4 linked regions of the Drosophila melanogaster genome follow. Changing the gene in region 1 together with any one later gene gives a genetic interaction. Each region holds a gene or a part of one and is shown in the gene's direction. Other genes may lie near its edges.

Region 1 (4,311 bases):
CGATTTCCCGAATTTTTGTCCGACACGTAAACACGTCCGCACTGGGCAACATATACAACGCTTTTGGCGTCGCTGTTTTGGTTTTGAATTCGGTTTCAGCTCGAGCGGGTTCATGTTCGAAGCGAGCAAGTTCGAGTTCGTATCGAACTTAAGAGAGCCAACTAAAAGAGTGGGCTAAGAGTTTAAGGAACTGTTTATATATGTTATATGTCTAATTGGAAATTCATTGGCAGCAATTTATTAAAATAGTAAAAGTAATTTGTCATTTCTTGAAAAAAACAACTAAATTTGTTACAAATAATTATTGTTGTAAGGTAAAAAAAGAAGAAAGACGGAGAAAGCAGCAAAAAAACACGATCAACCGGTGGGAGTAAGTATACTGCACTTACAGAAATGACCTCAGAATTACGTAGTTATAGTGTTTAAATTACTTAATTACTACAAATATAAGCAGAAGCACTAATTGCGAGTTTTGTAAATAAATTGATTGATTTCAATATACCTATGTAATAAGTTTACTACATTATTTCTGTAAATTAAACTGTTTTAATGTAGTTAATAACAAAGGTATTAAAAAAACTTTAGGTGTCAAATTTCAATGTATGTATGTATGTACATACATATTTACATCCCCGGGAACCTACAATTTAAAAAGATAAGAAACGGGAATGCATAAATTTCAGGTGAAACTTTGCATTGTTATTCCATAAAAGTGCGTCAGATAAATCATTTCATTTTGAGCATTCAGCAGCAAGTGCATTTTCGGAATCCCGCCCCAATAAATCTCTCCTTTCTCTTCACCTTTTGGAGCTGCAAGATAAGAGCAGATTTCAGGTCACTGGAGGGGCAACATCTGCTTTCGGTGGAAGGCACCTCGAGAATCAAAGGCGATTGTTCTGGTTCTGAAAAGCCGGCTAAACAACTTTCCTGCTCCCCCACCCACTGTTCTTCATTTTCTTTTTTTGGCTCTTCAGCTGACAGAAATATTGATGTCGCTAATTGTAATTACATATCAATTATAATTGGCATCCAATCAGGGTCGTAGGAGCAGCTTTATTAATTAGCCGCAATTGTTGTTATGCGCCACAAGTTTCCAGCTCTCTCTTATGTTTCTCTCTCTTAAGCGCTGAGGTACATTTTTTGGCTGCACCGCAATAAAAGATTTCTTTATATTGTTGTAATTTAAAGTGAAATTGAAACTAACTTAACTTTGACATATTGTTTTTATATCACATTAAAATGCCCGTAGCTAACTGTTCGAATATTACACAATAAATTACTAAATCGTATAGAACTTTCTCTCAGTCTGCGGTACACTTTATAACGGTACTCCTTCGACTTAAGGACGCCATACTCATTTCCGGTTTCCGTTACTTTGTGTGCGTGAAATTTTGAATTGCGTGGCAAAGTTTGCCGCCCATTGCCGCTTTTTTGCGCATCTGAATTTTATTGAAAACACATTAAGAAATCCCCAGTAGCAGCGACACTTTCGCCGGAAGTTGCCAATTTCCCTGACGAGCGCCCACTTTTGTGGGCGTGAACCCGTCGGGGAAATCAAATTGTCTGGTGCAATGGCAAAGGGAATTGTATTTTGCTACCAATAAACGTAACTTCCCCTCGAGCAGGCTAATCAACGTTGGGCAAGAGCCCGAAAAATACCGCGGCGAGCGAGAGAAGAATCCACCCCAGCAAGCTCAAGGTGATAAGACGGCTGCATTGATTAGATAAGATGTTAGGCGAACGGGAGCGAGAGCTTTTTTTTGTCGTTTGATAGGTGAAAACTTCCAATCGCGCTTAGTCACAGGTTGCTGCCAAAGCGCGCGGACGGTCAGAAATGGACGACACCGACTTCTCGCTCTTCGGGCAGAAGAACAAGCACAAGAAGGACAAGGCGGATGCCACCAAGATCGCCCATACGCCCACATCGGAGCTGGACCTCAAAAGGATCATAATCTCGCGCCCCACCAACGAGGACACATACGAGAATTGCGCGCGAGCGGGCATTGCGCTAATCCTGAACCACAAGGATGTCAAGGGACAGAAGCAGCGCGTGGGCACCGAACGGGATCGCGATGACATGGAGGCGACGCTGCAGGGATTCGGATTCGATGTACGCACCTTCGACGATCTGACCTTCTCCGAGATCAACGACACGCTCAAAGAGGGTGAGTTATCCACGAGTTCTATTGTTGCAACAAATGGCAGACAAAAACACAGAACCATACATATGTACTCAAAGTTAAGTTATCTACCAACGGAATCAAGTTTATTTTCGTATTCCACCGTAAATACGAGGTAATGTCTTTCTTTACGAGTAGTAAAATATATTTACTCCCTTGTTAAACAAAAGAGAAAACATTTAATATGCAACTTAAAAATCAATGTGATAGTCATCAAAATCTAGCTGCACTCAATCGTGTCCATCGAAACTGGTGACATATTTCAAACACATATGTATATCTTATCATTATCAAAACAAAGTCACTATTTTTACGACTGCAATAATTATGAGATAAAGACAGTAATCTGTTGGTCTGATCAATCCGAAGGCAGCAAAAAAATATTTTTTGTTTTGAGAAAATAACAACCGTTTTATATGTTGAAAATTGTATAGTGCATTGATTATTGGAACGCGTCTTTTTGTATAGTTTTCTTTGAAGAGAAAAGTGTTTTGAAGCAAGTCTCGATTTTTATTATAATTATTTTTCTACTTACTAAAGATGTGAATCTACTTCATTTCAGTTGCTCGGGAGGATCACAGTCAAAACGACTGCTTTGTGTTGGCGGTGATGTCACACGGCACCGAAGGCAAGGTCTACGCTAAGGACATGTCATATCCTGTGGAGCGCCTTTGGAATCCCTTCCTCGGCGACAACTGCAAGACGCTCAAGAACAAACCCAAACTCTTCTTCATCCAGGCCTGTCGCGGAGCCAACCTGGAAAAGGCAGTCGAGTTCTCCAGCTTCGCTGTGATGACCAGGGAACTGGTCCCGGAGCCCGCTGCCGCCGTTCAGCCCATCACCTATGCCATTCCCAGCACGGCGGACATCCTCGTCTTCTACTCCACATTCGACAGTGAGTGTTGGCAAAATGTATTAATCATATTTAGTTTCACAATTAATTGAAACTTGTCCAGGCTTCGAAAAGCTTTGAACGTCAATCAAATCGGGTTATTTCTGGGTTGAAAAGGATTGTGTTCCTATCAATGAATTAGAATACTTAATGCATACTTAAAGCACTATTTTGGAAGATACTTGTTCTTAGTCCAAAAGAAAGAAATAGTTTTTTGGCTATATGAATATAATTTCTATATTTATCTTGCTATTAAGTTTCCATTTCAAATATTTCCTGATTGTAACTTCTTCCTTTCTTCCTTTCAGAATTCTTCTCATTCCGTAACGTTGACGATGGCTCCTGGTTCATCCAGAGCCTGTGCCGCGTCCTCGACCAGGCCGCCGCCAACGAAGCTGCCACGCCGGAGGGCGTCGAGCTACTCCGCCTGCTGACCGCAGTGAATCGGAAGGTGGCCTACGAGTACCAGTCGAATACGAAGAACGAGGCCCTCAACCAGATGAAGGAAATGCCCAACTTTATGTCGACACTGACCAAAACATTCCAGCTGCGTGTTAAGCCCAAGACCTGAGCTCCGGTCACGAAATCAGCGACAATCCAATCGGGACTGTGAGTCAGTCCGCGGGTCAAGAACGAGGGACGCCACAACTCTTTCATTTAATCGTAATGTTTGCAATTTGTTAATAGAAATACATATCGATGGCACTTATCTAGAATTGGCTTAGTGCCTTTGGGACTGCGATAGCGAACTGGCTGACAAGTGAATAGATAGAAGTCGCGTTTCCGGGAGGTCAGTTGCCCGGAAAATGTTGCGATTTCCGCATGTCTGCGGTCTTTGTTTGCTGCTTAAATATTGGCAGATTTTGGCCTTGGCCCCGTTTCGGACTTCCGAGCCAATGGTCGCCAGGTGCCAGCGATGGATGACCTTGATTGCGGTCTTTAGATGGCTACTACTCACATCAATGGCGCCCTTTGTTCTCTGGAAAAGTGCTGCCATGTATGAGGCCACTAATGTGCGGCACTCGATGGTCTTTAAGACAATCGCTTTGGCCACCATGACGGGTGATGTCTGCATTTCACTAGCTCTGTTGGGAAACCACCTTTGGAATCGCCGGGAGTTGGCCAATTTGGTAAATGACTTGGCCAGATTGCATCGTCGGAGGAGACTGAGCTGGTGGTCCACATTGTTCCTCTGGCTTAAGTTGCTACTCTCCCTCTACGACCTGTTATGTAGTGTGC
Region 2 (3,687 bases), on another chromosome or scaffold:
ATAAAATGTTTGCATATAAAATATTAAATAAAAGACGCTGTGAAGCAGCAGCGGAGGAGCCTTTACCTTCTCTACATAGCACGCAACGAAATGAGCGAGCACACTGAAAGAAATAAAGGGGAGTACTCATTTCATATTTGTTCTAATCCTACTAAAGCAACGAATAAAGCGCCTTCAATTGTAACTAGTGAATATAAAGACAGTGAGATATAATACAAAAGAAACTATCATTTATTATTGCTAAGTAATGATTCTTAATAGCTGCTCACCTAATTCAACTATTTGTTTGAGTGCACCTTCGTCGGCGGCAACAACAAAATGACGGAGCCAGGTGGACCGAGAGATCCAGGTGAGCTGCTGCGAGCAAAAGGCCCGGGCAAAAGGCTCAACGGGTGGGTAAATAGAATCCATCTATGTGTGCAGTATGTGTTCGCGCACCGATATGTGTGGGTGCAACTTAATGATGAGCACGAAGCACCGTTAGTGGGCGTATCAAATGGCAGGAAGCAGCGCAGTCGGCGCACAAAATGGCAGCGCATGCGTCGCACTGCTCTAGCATCCATCTTTTCGCATGGCCAATCGGTGGGTGTGTCCTCGCTCACTCACACAGGCACACACACACGCACAGTTGATTAGCCTCGACATTTTGTTACTGTTGCTCTCTCGCTGTCGCTGCATCTCTTTCGCTCCCGCTGGAAATTCAACAGGCACCCACACCAACTGTTGCCAGCTCACTCACTCCAACAGAACGACCATTCGAATGCATCGGCACTCAAAAAATATGAACTTTACTTATCGCTCAAAAACCGGCTTTTACTTTCGTTACCAAAAGTCCACCAGAAAAAAAAATTGTCTCTAAATTTTGAGACTCAATAATCTGCTTTGTGACAGTGGGGAATATTGTCCAAAATTAATCAGCACAGCGGAGTTCACTCGAAAATGCAGGATATTGGAAAAGCGCATGATTTCCAAGTTGATTAATTTCGCACCACTGCATGGCAATGTGTGTGCGTTCGTGTGTGCGTGTGAGAGAGTGAGTGCCATGGCACACGCTTCTTACCTGTCAAAAATTCCCGCATTTTTCGTTGGCTAACAAAGGCATTGCCACAAAGATACCACAAAAAGTTGCCAAAAAATACGTAACAAAATTTCCGCTATTTATTTGTGTGCTCTCGCCTGTTATGAATTAAGTGTCCTGCATGTGTGTGCGTTTCTGTCCGCTTTGTTGTTGGCCATCGCTTTGTCAGTCCTCGAAAATGTTACCTCACAAAATCACAAATTGCGGGATCAAAGGTGAAGGAGAGCGGAAGGGGCACACCGAAATAATAATGAAAATAACTTAAATCCATCAATGAGGCTGCATTTATTGACAACAAAGCAAAAAAGATGTTAAGTTTTAATGAACTGCAGTCGAAAATGGATGTTGCTTCAAATATTGCAGGGTTCCTTATAAATATTGTACAATAGATCATAAAGGATCGCATGATATTAAACGAGCATTGTGTTACCGTAATTGACTTTGTTTCTAGGAAAGTTCGGTTTTATATAAAATCAAAATGACTTGAGTTCTTTAAGAACATGTAAAAACATTTTAAACCTTATTTTTCGATATTAGTTTGATTCCTGGATATTGTAGAAAATTCTTTTTTTCTAACTTATTAATGTCAAACTCATACATAATAACAAACAACTTCATAATACCCAGTAATACTTAGAATTTCGAGACCATAAATAAAGTTTTATAAAAATTTCGAATTTATTTCAAAAGATGTTAAAAATTCAAATGCAAGAGACATTCACTGGCAAGCGCGTTCATGGCCGTTAAACCCAGCCGATAGGCACGACCCTTGCCATTCGCCCCGAGCCGGAGTCAAGTGCCATCACCAAAAAGACACGTAAAGCAACAAAAATAGAGAAAATCACTCCGCACAAAAGCAGCGAATTAATGAATTAAACAGGACACCAAAGCATACACGAGAAGTACACACAATGGACGCTGGCGTGTGGTACCGCTCGCTGCCCCGCTTCACCCGCTACTGGCTGACGGCCACCGTGGTGTTGAGCATGCTCTGCCGCTTCGATGTGATACCCCTTCATTGGCTGCATCTGGACCGATCGGCCGTTTTCAGCAAGCTGCAGCTCTGGCGCTGCATGACGTCACTGTTCGTCTTTCCCATCTCGTCGAACACGGCCTTCCACTTCCTCATCAACTGCTTCTTCATCGTTCAGTACAGGTGAGTAGTCGGCCAGCCTGGCGCAGCACAGCAACTGGTTCGTTACGTTAGGATTCCTTAGGATTCATAATCCTGCCTTGCAGCTCCAAACTGGAGAAGGATCAGTACAGCCGAAGTCCGGCTGATTACCTGTACCTGTTGATCGTGTCGGCGGTGCTGGCCAACATCGGGGGCATGATCTTCAACGTGTACTTCCTCATGGACACGCTGGTGCTGGCCATCACGTATATCTGGTGCCAGCTGAACAAGGACGTCACCGTGAGCTTCTGGTTCGGCACCAGGTTCAAGGCCATGTACCTTCCCTGGGTGCTGGCCGCCTTCGAGTTTATTTTCCACTTGTAAGTCGCGTCAGTTTATCTGCCTTATCTGCTAATTGTTATCGTATTGTAATCCGCTGCAGCTCGCTCGCCTCGCTGGTGGGCATATTCGTGGGACATGTGTACTACTTCTTCAAGTTCCAATACTCGCAGGATTTGGGCGGCACACCCCTGTTGGAAACGCCGCAGTTCTTGTAAGCATAACGAGGATAATTAACTTGTGGTGCTAGTCGATATAACCCGCACTTCTTTTTTTTGTATAGGAAGCGCCTGGTGCCAGATGTTTCCGGCGGATTCGGCGGCTTCGGACTCCCACCGGAGAGCAGAGCACCACCTAGGCAGGCGACCGAAAGTCCCTGGGGCCGGGGCATGACCTTGGGTCGCAACTGAACTCCAAGCTGAAACTCGAAACTCTCTAGACTAGACTAATTCCCCTTTTTACGGTTTGGTTTACTCTATTTTCTCACCAAGCTCTTTACTTTTCCAACTATTTTTCGATCACCACTCGATTCTCTGGCGACAGCAATAAGTTAACATGTTAAGTGGAAGGATTGCATTGTGCATTGATGAAATTATATTAAAATATGTGTGTACATAAACAACCATTAAAGAAGACAAAAAAGAATGCGGCGTTTCCCTTTGGCCAAAGCAAAACGAGTTCCTTTAGTTACATTTAAATTTATTTCGTTTAAAAGTTCTATGCTAAAAATTTTACAGCGACACGCATCGTTCAACAATATTTTGTATTACACTTTTCACTTTTCGTAGAGGGGAATTCTCTGTTTGGATGCTTCTTCCTTTTCTGTGTGTTTCTTTTTTGGACCTTGGTCGAAAGTTACAACATTCCTCTTAAGATTTGGATTTACAAAACCGACGCATAAAATACTTAACATCTATAAATCGTTAATGGTTAATCATCTGTGTGTGTGGGTGTGTGTGTGTGTGTGTGTGTGTGTGTGTGTGTGGCATGGGTCTCCTTCCGATCAAGATTAAACATGTGTGGTCCTTAGCCGAACTAGGTATCTATACAAGTGTATATTTATATGTGGCTGCGATAGTTGGGCCTTGCATTTCGAAATTCATCAGATATTTACATGTTCGGGTTCGGATTGGGTCAACTAGGGTCTATAATCTCA
Region 3 (6,637 bases), on another chromosome or scaffold:
AGATATTCATCTTCCAGCGCTTTGAGATGTTCCGGACGCAGCAGAGTACCTATCTGTCGGTGTACATCCACATTAAGATCCGGATGGGACATCAGCTCGACGCCAGGATAGGTGTGTGTAACCCAAGCCATCATTGATACATATTCATTGCCCTCCAAGCCCGAGCGCACAATGTTGTCAAGCTGGAATTAGTAAATATTAGTGGTATAAAAACATTAATCAATTTAAATGATTGACGATTACTCACATAGCTAGAAAGTCCTTCGTGATAGAACTTGACATATTCGCCGAAAATGTCGTAGTGCGGCGGGAAGCAGGGCACACAAAGGGACTTCACAACGCGCAGATCCTCGAGAATGATTTGACGCAATATCTCCAGGTCTCGTACTAACCACATCTTGTTATCGGCCCGCTCCTCTAGCTTGGATCCCTCTATGCGCGTTATCACCGACTGTTGTAGCACGTCCATGATCATGCGGCGCCAAGCCTTTGGTCTTCCAGGCGGCAGGAATCCTGTGACCTTTTGCTGCTGCAACGCGAACTGGTCGTTTTTCTCTTCCCGCTCTATGATGCGTAGGGCGGTAACGATGATGGTGGGCTTCTTGCGCAGAGTGTTCAGCGTGCGGCTAAGAATGAGTCGCAGCTTTTTCTCCAGCTCTTGGGATACCGTGTCAACCTTCTCGAAGTGACGCTTTAGGGTGATCTTGTCGGACGCATGCTGCTTGGGCTGCTTGTGCAGTTCGTAGAGAAGATCATCCCGCGAATTCTCCAGATCCGCCAGGCACTGATGGGCATTAAGCAGCTTATCATCCTCGATCAGCGCCATCGTCTTTTGTACGCTGGCATCTACGTTGAAGATGTGCTTCAGATTCTCCATGGCGGTGGCGTACTGGGAGTGCTTTGTGTTTTCCTCCCGCACAACTTCCAAAGCGTCGTAGACTTCGGGAACGCCCCTCAGCAGGCGCTCCACCTCGTCCATTCGACGCCTTACCTCGCGCACGTCCTGCATGCAGGTCTCCAACTGCTTAAGTCCCACCCTGACCCCGTCCAGCTGTCCTTGCATTCCGGTCTTAAGGAGCGCCTCAACGGATGCCTTCTTCCGGGCGATTCGGTGGCGATATTGTTCCACCTTCTCCAGTTGACCTGGTCGCTGCAACATGTTCTGTATGTCCTTGAGCGCTGCCTGGCGAGCCTGCTCCTCCAGCTGCTGTAAATCCATCTTCAATTTATTTGGATCACTTTCAGTCTCTGTTTTGGTCAATCTTCGTCAGCAGTGGAAGTGCTGGTGTGACCATATAGCAGTGCGGCTGACAATCTCACTTCCAAGAACTACAGTGTAACTTGACAATAAGCTATATTCTACTCTTAAAATTATTATAGTTTTATTGTGTCTTAAAATTTTTATTTTATTCTTCAAGCTTAAAAAATTATGAAGTTAAAGTATATCTTTTAGTTTGCCAAAGCAACAGAGGATTCGACCTAAGTATGGAAAACTGTACTTATCGATAAGTTATCTTCTCATTGGTCTATCGCCATCGAGAGCTTTGTTTGTTTATAATTTGCAGCCAAACGTTTGAACGTAAACAACGCCCTAAGCAAAACATGAGCACGGAAAAAGAGATAATTTTGCAATTTGCTCCGTGGGAATCTTTTGTGTCGCCCACTTTCTGGCACAAGCTAGCGGAGCTTAAGCTCGACCACGATCGCCTGTCCGACTCGAAACGCTCCATTACTGGACACTACACAAATCGTAATGCAAGTGGATGCCTTTTGGAAGTAGACTACACGGCCTACAACAGGTGAGCTTGAAAACTACGAGTTTGATGAAACCAGCGCTTGACCACCCACATTCCAGAATGGCAAAGCCTCCAAAATTCAGCCATTCCGCTATAGGCACCATCTACAATAAGAACACAATCGAAGAGTTCAAGGCCCTGGACAAATTACAACTGCTGGCCGATGAGGGCAAGGAACTGCTGGCTGATATGTGCAGTGGTGGCGCCTTGAGAGATCCCAGTCTATTGACCCGGTTCTTTGTTCTCTCCTTTGCCGATTTAAAGTGTCACAGCTACTACTATTGGTTCGCCTTTCCGTGCCCGCTGACGCCCACCTTAAAGCTTCAGGGAGCCGTCCAAAAACTGCGGGACTTGCCCAATAGTAGTAGCTATATAATGGCTCTAAAGGCCTTACCCACTGAGTCACAGAACTTCTTCATTCTGTATGCTAATGTGGAGAAGAACATTTTCGAAGCCCGTAGTTTAAGTTCCCTTGACGATAAAAATGTTGAGTTCTGTTATTTTGGTTTTGCTGATCCCAGCGAGTATGAGCATCCAGCTTGGATAATGCGAAACTATGCTGCCTTTCTGCTTCAGCAATGGTAGGTAGGAATAGCAATGTTATGATATCAGTTCACACAGTTGTCGGTCTATTACAGTCCCTCTTTTGTTGGAAAACCATTGAAGTTTCTTGGCCTGCGACACAATCAACAAATGAACATCGATGACAGCCTTGTATGGAAGGTGATTCAGACTGAAGCTTGCGATCTTAGCCAAAGCGAAAATATAAAGTTCGTGGGCTGGGAGCTAAATAAAAATGGCAAAATGGGGCCAAGAATGGTGTGCATGAGGGACAGCATGGATCCAGCCAAGTAAGTTAATAGCTATAGACTTAAATGATAAGAACTATCAGTTCATTGAGGTGTGTCCTTAGTGTTAGCTACCACGACAGTTGAAAGTAACTTGTTTATTATTTATAATTTAACAATATTTCTTTCCGTAGACTCGCTGAGAACTCTGTAAACCTGAACCTGAAACTAATGAAGTGGCGCCTTGTTCCCGATCTCAATCTCGAAATCATCTCCCAAACAAAATGCCTGCTCTTTGGAGCTGGTACTTTAGGATGCGCTGTAGCTAGAAATCTGCTGGTGTGCTTTTATACGAAATGATTTAACTGATCTGATAACTAATAGTTTATTTATTTTGTAGTCCTGGGGATTTAAGCACATAACCCTTTTGGACAGCGGCAAGGTTGGGTTCTCTAATCCAGTGCGTCAGAATCTCTACACGCATGCAGATGCTGTGGCAGGCAATCGGATGAAGGCGACTACAGCTGCTCAGAGATTGAAAGAGATCAATCCGTCTGCGGAAACGGCGGGTTATGTGCTGGAGATTCCCATGCCTGGGCATACTATTGGAGAATCGCTTCTAGCCCAGACGAAGGAGCATTTGAAGGTTATCGAAAAGCTTGTGCAGGACCATGATGTCATCTTTCTGCTCACAGATTCGCGCGAAAGCCGCTGGCTGCCCACCCTGCTTGGAGCGGCAAAGGAAAAAGTGGGAACAATCATATACTCACCTTTCAGAAGAGATGTACCTAAAATGTTTCCCTTATAGATTGTCATCAACGCAGCTTTAGGCTTTGACAGTTATCTGGTAATGCGACATGGCACTACGCGTAAGGAAGCAGGCGACGATGGCCAAGAAATCGAAGGACTTAAGTGCATTAATGGCGATCAATTAGGTTGCTACTTTTGTAACGATGTTACGGCCCCTGGAAATGTAAGTCCCATTTGTTGTATAGTTTAAGATAACATTTGTATTTTCAGACTTCATTAGTTGGGTTAACATGGTTACTAAACGCATTCGTAATCATGGCGGGAATATTTTTCGAAGCCAGCGCACGTAGGATCCCCCGTCTGCAGGTGATCCACACCAGTTATCTGCACTACCAGGCCATTTATGCTGGTCACCTTGAAACCCACTAGATTCATCATGGCATTAGGTGTGCGCCAGGTGTAGCTGAAGAAGTTATAACCGTCCACTGCAGTCAAAACCTCGCGTTCCGTAAACGCAAGCGCCAGCTTGAATTGCTGGTTAAAGACGAAGGGGAAACCTCCATGACGCTCCTCGCTTCCGAATCTATAAAAAGAATTAGTTAACGCCCAAAGAGGTACGGCATTATAAAGTTAACTTACTCAAAATTTTTGTTCATGGAATTGCGCACTACTGCCTTCTCATCGAAACGCACACTGAAGTGTAGCTCTTCGCGCTTGGTATCCGAGTCCATGAACTTGATTATGAACTGTCCCTTTTTATTCTCGAAACACCGAGCTGTAAGGACAATCACATGGCCCGGACTAAACAAAATTGGCTGATCGTTACTGAACGCCTTAAAGTAGTCCGAGGCGTGAACGGCTGGCCACGGATTTGGAAACACAGTACGATGATCCACCTGTTTAATGACTTGGATCTGATCACGGATCTCCAGAGCACGAATCGTTCCCAACGGCATGCGGTAGCGGAATCTGCAGAACTCTCGGCTATTTATCGAGATGGCAAAGCTGTCCTCGCAACAAAGAATGTAGACCAAAAAGAACTCGCCACTGACGATGGGATTGGGCAGGGTGTTGGGGTCCATGACATGGGACTCCTCCTCGCCCCAGGCGCCGTTTATCCGGGAATTTCGAACGATCACATCGTTCCGAAAATAGCATGAGAAGCGTAGCCCAATATCTGCGTTCGGATCGACCGTGCTCTTGGCCGTGCAGAGGTTAATGTGGAACCTATCCGAACCAAATGATCACAATCGATTAGTCACGTACTGATAAGAAGCCCAATTTGACAAGTAATTAGTCAGAAAACGGAAAAGCGGTCTTACATTAATGCCGGACAACACTTACCTGGCTGCTCCATCGATGGTCTTGGCCACGACCTCCAGAACATGACCAAACTCCAGCGGATGCGATAGATTGCCAGCGAATTCGGTCAACATGATTCCTTCCTGCAATTACCAATTCAACTAACTATCGCCTTTGTACTGAACAATCAAGCGCAAAATGTGTTTTATAGTTCCGTGGGAGAGTCCGGAGTTCTCCGGCTCTCCCAAATGTTAAAACTTTATCTAATCAGTGATGGGCGGAGCGGCGGGTTGCTCAAGTAACCGATACAAACGCCGAAGTTTTCTATATCTTGTGTTTTTGGTTTTTAAGCGCTGCTATTTGTTTTGTTCTCGCCCGAAGGCGTCATCTTTGTTTGCTCGGAGCATGTGTTTGTGGACACAGAAAAGCTTTCAAAAGCTCTTGATCGTACTACTGCACCGGCGTCGAATGTGCTCCAAATCACACTGAAAAAAACTCTGTATAAAAAAATCTCTTATAGACTCGCTTTATAAAGTTGTACGTACAAATTTGGATACAGATACTCATTGCATTTCGTTCTATTCCATTTTCAGTCGCTCAAAGACCGAACTTTGGATCAACAGTGCACAGTGACACGACCCGGAGTATCCAACATTGCGGCCAGCTATGCGGTGGAATTGTTGGTGGCTTTGCTGCAGCATCCTCGTAAGGAGCTGGCACCCGCCTACTATGCACAGAGTGGGCGTGGCAGGTCGGAGGAGACGGAAGAAAAGGTGCCGGAGGGTCTGCTAGGAATTTTGCCTCACTCCATCCGTGGAATGCTGTGCAACTACGAGAATATTCTGCCCGCCACTCAAAAGTTTGCTCAGTGCATAGCCTGTTCAGCGGTAAGATTTGACAATCTTTTAAAATGGTTTTGATAGCGTTTTCAATATTGTTAAAATTTTTTTTTTAATATATTCGCTTACAGGCCGTCCTAAATGAATATAAAAAAGAGGGTCATGCTTTCCTGTTTAAAACTTTTGAAACAGCCAAGTTTCTGGAGGATTTGACGGGAATCTCCGAATTCAAGCGGTTAAACAGCGAGGTTTGTTTGTTTCCTGTGTTTAATCTAATGGAGATATTTAAAAATTATTCATATTTTTGCACAGATTATCGATTTTGATGATGAAGAATTTGACATGTCCGATAGCGACGAGGATTAGGTTCCACAAAATTGGTCAAGTTTTATCTTCAAAGCAAAATATCTTAAATATGAAATTCAGCTTATTGTGGCTTTAATTTTCTGCAGCATTTATAGTTCAATGTCTATACCAAAAATGTGTGTACTTCAATGCTTTTATTCTATCTAGTCGTTAAGCAAATTGTGAATCATTCAAATGAAATTGATGTGAAAATTAGGCATAAGAAAAATGTGAATTTACTATTGAAAATTGTAATAATAAAAGTGTGAATTTACTATTGAAAATTGTTATAATAAAAGTGCTTAAGTACGGGAACAAATGTATTTCCGCCAATTTACAAGTCGCAGCCTTTAAGCTTTGTTTGTTTGTACGAAACGTGTTTCTGCTGATAAGAGCACTCATTTATAGGCGAAAATATTATTCTGATCTGAGAATTCCCATTTTTGTGGTTGACAAATACCAAAATATTGTTTTCAATTCCCGATCGGTCATTGAATATGTTATTAGCTGCATTATTCAAGGCGAAAACACGCAAACAAAGATGAATGTTCGTATAAAATTGTTTTGGGAATATGCAAATGATTTACATAGTGGGCCAGGTATGCGAAAAGAATAGTTCAAAGTTGAATAAACCTGGTTAGAAAGCCACGAACTAATCGCATATGTAAATTTGCTTATTATGTCTCGGTCAAAGTAGATGACATCCTAGAAATACGCTCACAAATGTTATACTTTAAAGAGATATGTAAAGTTAAAACTATATTTTTAGTCCAGGAATATAAAATGTTTAAATTTTCATTAAATGGTTGTATGAAAA
Region 4 (5,054 bases), on another chromosome or scaffold:
CCGTCGAGATGTTTGCAAGAGCGATAGGTGATAAAGCTACGAAACAGCGTATACTTGCAAAAGCATTGAAAAAATGTCACTTTGTGGTACTTACAACTGAGAGCCATTGGTGTTGGGTCCCGAATTGGCCATTGATAGCACTCCTCGGCCCGTGTGCGTAAGATTCGGCTTAAACTCGTCCTCAAACTTCTTGCCCCAAATGGACTCGCCACCAGAACCACTTCCAGTGGGATCACCACCTTGCACCTGTGGATAAAACCATAGTAAATTAAAGTTTCTCTCAAAAGAGATCGTACTTACAATAAAATTCCTTATGGACCGGTGAAACATAACATTATTGTAGTAACCATTGGCGCAATGCTTGATGAAGTTATCGCAGGCTCGAGGAGTTTGATCGCAGAAGAGCTCCAGGTTGAGAGGGCCAAGGTTCGTATTTAAACGAACGTAGCCCTTCTTTTTTACCCGCTCGTACTTGACCAAATCATCATCTATGATAGCCGCCTCTATTTGGGAAACGGGCACCATGGCGGTAGACGTAAAACTGGCCGCCACCGCTCCAGTTGAATAGTGAGCTGCGTTGAACTTGTCAGCTGTACGCTTCGAAGTGGAGGCCTCCTCTTCCGCTGGCTGATAGTCCTGCTGCAGCTGTTCCAGCGTCTCCTTGGTCTCCAGATTCATGGTCTTAATGCGGCCGCTGGCTGGATTCTTTCTCTCTTGCTGCTCTTCTTCCGTCAGGACTCGTAGATTCTTCTTAATATGATAGAAGGTCGAGATGTCGTACTTTTCCAGCTTCTGAGGATCTTGTATTGTGATGATATCCTTACGCTGGAATGGCGTGTCATCCACCAGATCCTTCCAGTTCTTTGTCTTAATGTTCAGCTGGTCGATTGCCTCCCAGCAGTATACATTTCCAGTTGTGGCCACCGCCACGATGTGCGAGTTCTTGCTGAAGGGCTTGAACAAGGCGGGGCAGTGGTACTCATCGTTTGCATTCCTGTGGAAGTTCAGCTTCACCAATGACTTGGAGTCCATCTTCTGCCCGGTGATGGGGTTCACCTTAAAGGTCTTGAGAAACTTAAGAATGGCCTCGTACTCGAACACATTGCCCTGTAGATCGCAGTAGGGCATCTCGTAGGGCGCCATCGTAATGCAGCAGTGCTCGAATGGCAGCCGCTTGAACTTGACATGGTCGTTCTCCAAGGATTCCACTTTTTTGCCGCCATACAGCTCACTCCACTCCGTGTACGTGAGGTACCTGTTAAAGCAATGGGTAGTCTTCATTTCCATAACTCGCTGGATGTGCTAAATACTTACATTTTGTCCTTTTGATGCTGCCTTTTACCCATCTTGGCTGTTTGTTTTTTTAAATTAAATTTGCAATAAAGTAAGAGCTACAAATAGTTTGTTTACAAATGCGGGAGAGAACTGCCAACTCTGTGCAGATTTATGTTGATGGATATCTAGGCTGTTCACACTTCGGGTACCATAAACAAAAGTATCGAGTATTTCAAAAAGTTAAAAACGAATATAAAAACAAATAACAAGAAAAATGCAAATTTAATTATTTATAAGTATTAATTTTATAAGATACCTTTGATTCTCCAATGTGTGTTATTTAGAGATGCCCTGGCAGTGTGAACACTGCACATTGGGCGCTGCAAGAGGTTCGCCTTACTTATTCATTACCCAGTATTTTGACGTTGGCCAACACTTCTCTTAGGAGAGTCAGCTGTTTGCTGAGAAGGTTCAGCAGAATCAAACAACAAAGAATTTTCCAACTTATACTATACAGCGATATAAATAGTCAGAACGGTTGACCTTGACGTTGGGCGATGTCTAGCCCACATATCAACTACCGCTCCCTGGCCGAGGAGGCGGCCAGTCCGTTCCTGGAGCACCATCCCTCCACAGGCCAAGGCCCATCCAAAACACAAGACGCAAAAGCGAACGCAGCTGCTGCGCATTTAGACCCCCTCGGTGAACACGGGCTGGAGCAGCCGCTGGATGAGCACGACACCGAGCATGAGGGCGAGGACACGCCTCGAAACAGTGGCGTCATGATCCACATGGTTCCGGAGACGGGGCGTGCGCGGTGGAACCACATCGAGGACCTTGACTCGTTCTTCTCGCGAATGTATCAGTACCAGCAGAAGCACGGATTCACAGTGATTGTAGTGGACGAAATGCTACAGGTTCTGGAGTTTGGTTTCGTCGTCTGGCTACTTGCCTTTGTGATGCACTGCGTCCGATTTGACGTGCTCTTTGGGGACACCCCTCCAGGGGGACTTAACCCCAACAAGACAACTTTATCCGATGTGATGTACCCCACAGGCGAGTGCTTAGCCAACTTCACTTGGGTCACGTACCTGGTTGTGTTCATAGCCGCTATCTATTTGGGCATAAGGCTTCTGAAAATGGTGTACCATATTACCCAGTACGCCGATATAAAGAGATTCTACAACTCTGCGCTTCATATCGAGGATTCGGATCTGGACAACTTTACGTGGCACGAGGTGCAACAGCGGATTCGTCGCGTCCAGGCCGAACAGCATATGTGCATCGACAAGGAGTCGCTTACGGAATTGGACATCTATCACCGAGTTCTGCGCTTCAAGAACTACCTAGTGGCACTGATGAACAAGCAACTGCTGCCTGTAAGGTTCCACATACCGCTGTATGGCGAAGTGGTCTCGCTGAGTAGAGGTATGTTGTTCAACATTGACTTCATCTTGTTTCGCGGCCCTGGATCTCCCTTCCAGAACAATTGGCAGCTGCGTGATGAGTTTGCGGTAAGAAGCAATCAAACGGAGCTGGCGCAGCGACTCTCCAAACTGATATTGGGGGTGGCGTTGTTAAATTTGGTCCTAGCGCCTGTGATCTTCGTATGGCAACTTATCTACTTCAGTTTCTCCTATGCGAACATTCTTCGTAAGGAGCCTGGTGCCCTTGGCCTGCGTACATGGTCCAATTACGGCCGCCTCTACCTGCGCCACTTTAATGAACTGGACCACGAACTAGATGCCAGGCTGAATCGGGCATATGACTACGCGGACCGCTATCTCAACTCCTTTTCCTCGCCACTGGCCGCTGTGATAGCCAAAAACCTACTCTTTATCAGTGGAGGACTACTACTTCTAATCCTTGCATTGGGCATTTACGAGGAACACGTCTTCCAGGTGGAGCATTTGCTTGCCATCCTTGCAGGGCTCGGCGCCATAGGTGTGGTCTGCAGAACTCTAATACCGGATGAGAATCTCGTTTGGTGCCCAGAGCAGCTAATGACCGCCATTCTGGCGCACGTTCACTACCTGCCCTCCGAGTGGCGGCAGCAGGCGCACACGACAAAGGTTCGCCAGGAGTTTAGCAACTTCTTTCAGTTTAAGGCTGGCTACCTACTCAGCGAAATCTTCAGTCCCTTCGTCACACCCTTCGTGCTGATCTTTGTGTTCAGGCCAAAGGCCATAGAGCTGGTGCGTTTCTTCAGGACGTTCACCGTATCCGTGCGAGGAGTGGGCAACGTATGCTCCTTTGCCCAGATGGATGTTCGCAAGCATGGCAATCCCGACTGGCAGTTAACCAGCGAACTGGAGGAGATGACCCGGGCTACAGCTCAACAGCCGCAGCAGGAGCCACAGCAGCAAAGTTTGGCCGGCGGCAAAACGGAGATGTCGCTTCTTCGCTTCACCCTGAACAATCCCGAGTGGCAGATGCCCAAGGAGGCCAAGCAGTTCCTGCGCGGCGTTAGAGAGCACGCCGTTGGTGAACTAGTCCAGGCCAAGACGTCGATGGTGCAGGAGAACCCGCTGACCAACAGCCTCATCTCATTTGGCACCATGGGAGCGGATTATTGTTCCATTGCGAACTCTGTGCTGACCGCACAGGTGACGCCCCAGCAACTGGAGATTTCGCAGTCGTTGCGTCCGGGTCTAGGACCGGTATCTGGAGGATTCCCCGTCGCAGCCAGCGACTTCCGCCAGATGTTGCAGCAGAATCTGTCCGCCAGTGTCGGCCCGCTGGACAGCATGCGCCGATTGCGCCTCAGCCGGGCTGAAGGCCGCTTGGAGGGTCCGACGGATACACTGCTCTACGGACTCTGTGGTGTGGACCCGCGCGTGGGCAGCACTCCCTTGAATGTGGGCGTGGCCGACATGTGCCTCAGTGCCCTCTATTTGCACGAGCTGAACCAGCAGAAGCGCCAAGCGCGCCAGTCTCGCATCGACGAGGCCGAGGACGAGCGTCCTGGTACGAGCCATTGGCCACCGCGACCACCAGCTGCTCCGTCGGCTGATACTGGCTTCGGCTCCCGCCATACCGTGATTACCTCAAAGGCTGCCGAGAGCACGCCGCTTTTGGGTAGCATCCGCTCATAGCAGCGGCCAGAGTGGATCTAACCACCTGTAGAGCTAAGGACCACCCATTCTGCTATTAGTGATTAACCTAAATTTTAAAGTGTAAACGAACGAACGACGTCGTCTAGTGCGTAGCTAAACTAATCTGAAACTAAGCTAAACTAAACGAGAAGCAATAAACATAAATGCATTATCAAATTGATCAGCTTTATTATTTCAAAGGAAATTTCGCTAGATAATAACTAAATCTATTAGTGTGTAGTAGTTGTGATTACCCATTACCCATATTTACATATATATATATGTATAAACTATTTACCTGGTTTGATTATAATGGCTTGTAAATCCTAAGCATTATCCGTTGTGTATCCTGTGTACAACAACTGAAAGGAGACACCATAAAAAAAATCCATTTTCATTGTGAAGATTATATTTAATGTCTTTACGGCTTATCCCGATCTTAGCTCTCCGGGATGTGGGAATGCCAGCTCCATCAGCACTGATGGATGGTCCCCATTTGTAGGCATTGTTGGCACACCACATCCACCTGGTCCAGAGATCCAGATGCGAGTGGCTGAGGAGAACGCATCCAGCTGTGCTGCAGCGCCTCGTGTGTCACTTGCCACACACGAACGCCATTTGGCGATTGGTGTTGATGGCCAATGCGGCGAGCAGAGACCAAAGACTGGAGGAGATCGGGGCGCA

The links.
Region 2: of Decay (region 1) and Der-1, changing one suppresses a phenotype caused by changing the other (phenotypic suppression), as found in Drosophila melanogaster (one study listed by BioGRID).
Region 3: of Decay (region 1) and Atg7, changing one suppresses a phenotype caused by changing the other (phenotypic suppression), as found in Drosophila melanogaster (one study listed by BioGRID).
Region 4: of Decay (region 1) and Atg9, changing one suppresses a phenotype caused by changing the other (phenotypic suppression), as found in Drosophila melanogaster (one study listed by BioGRID).

Annotation. Positions count from the first base shown.
Region 1 is NT_033777.3:16,498,527-16,502,837, reverse strand, and holds Decay (death executioner caspase related to Apopain/Yama), read left to right. Parts: upstream 1-1,787; 5' UTR 1,788-1,834; coding exon 1,835-2,165; intron 2,166-2,742; coding exon 2,743-3,075; intron 3,076-3,380; coding exon 3,381-3,643; 3' UTR 3,644-3,780; downstream 3,781-4,311. Other genes in the region: Gr89a (gustatory receptor 89a), read left to right, coding at 3,879-4,311.
Region 2 is NT_033779.5:1,972,247-1,975,933, forward strand, and holds Der-1 (Derlin-1), read left to right. Parts: upstream 1-1,710; 5' UTR 1,711-1,989; coding exon 1,990-2,234; intron 2,235-2,317; coding exon 2,318-2,572; intron 2,573-2,634; coding exon 2,635-2,745; intron 2,746-2,814; coding exon 2,815-2,941; 3' UTR 2,942-3,167; downstream 3,168-3,687. UniProt on the Drosophila melanogaster protein: May be involved in the degradation process of specific misfolded endoplasmic reticulum (ER) luminal proteins.
Region 3 is NT_033778.4:18,619,925-18,626,561, reverse strand, and holds Atg7 (Autophagy-related 7), read left to right. Parts: upstream 1-1,517; 5' UTR 1,518-1,602; coding exon 1,603-1,799; intron 1,800-1,855; coding exon 1,856-2,377; intron 2,378-2,434; coding exon 2,435-2,647; intron 2,648-2,778; coding exon 2,779-2,923; intron 2,924-2,984; coding exon 2,985-3,332; intron 3,333-3,392; coding exon 3,393-3,557; intron 3,558-3,575; exon of another isoform or gene 3,576-3,631; coding exon of another isoform or gene 3,632-3,917; intron 3,918-3,973; coding exon of another isoform or gene 3,974-4,561; intron 4,562-4,678; coding exon of another isoform or gene 4,679-4,770; exon of another isoform or gene 4,771-5,021; intron 5,022-5,229; coding exon 5,230-5,523; intron 5,524-5,606; coding exon 5,607-5,723; intron 5,724-5,787; coding exon 5,788-5,841; 3' UTR 5,842-6,096; downstream 6,097-6,637. Other genes in the region: Sec6 (secretory 6), read right to left, coding at 1-182, 248-1,219; CG5335 (uncharacterized protein), read right to left, coding at 3,632-3,917, 3,974-4,561, 4,679-4,770.
Region 4 is NT_033778.4:16,292,689-16,297,742, forward strand, and holds Atg9 (Autophagy-related 9), read left to right. Parts: upstream 1-1,711; 5' UTR 1,712-1,832; coding exon 1,833-4,370; coding exon of another isoform or gene 4,371-4,391; 3' UTR 4,392-4,544; downstream 4,545-5,054. Other genes in the region: CG7747 (uncharacterized protein), read right to left, coding at 1-36, 95-246, 301-1,255, 1,315-1,346.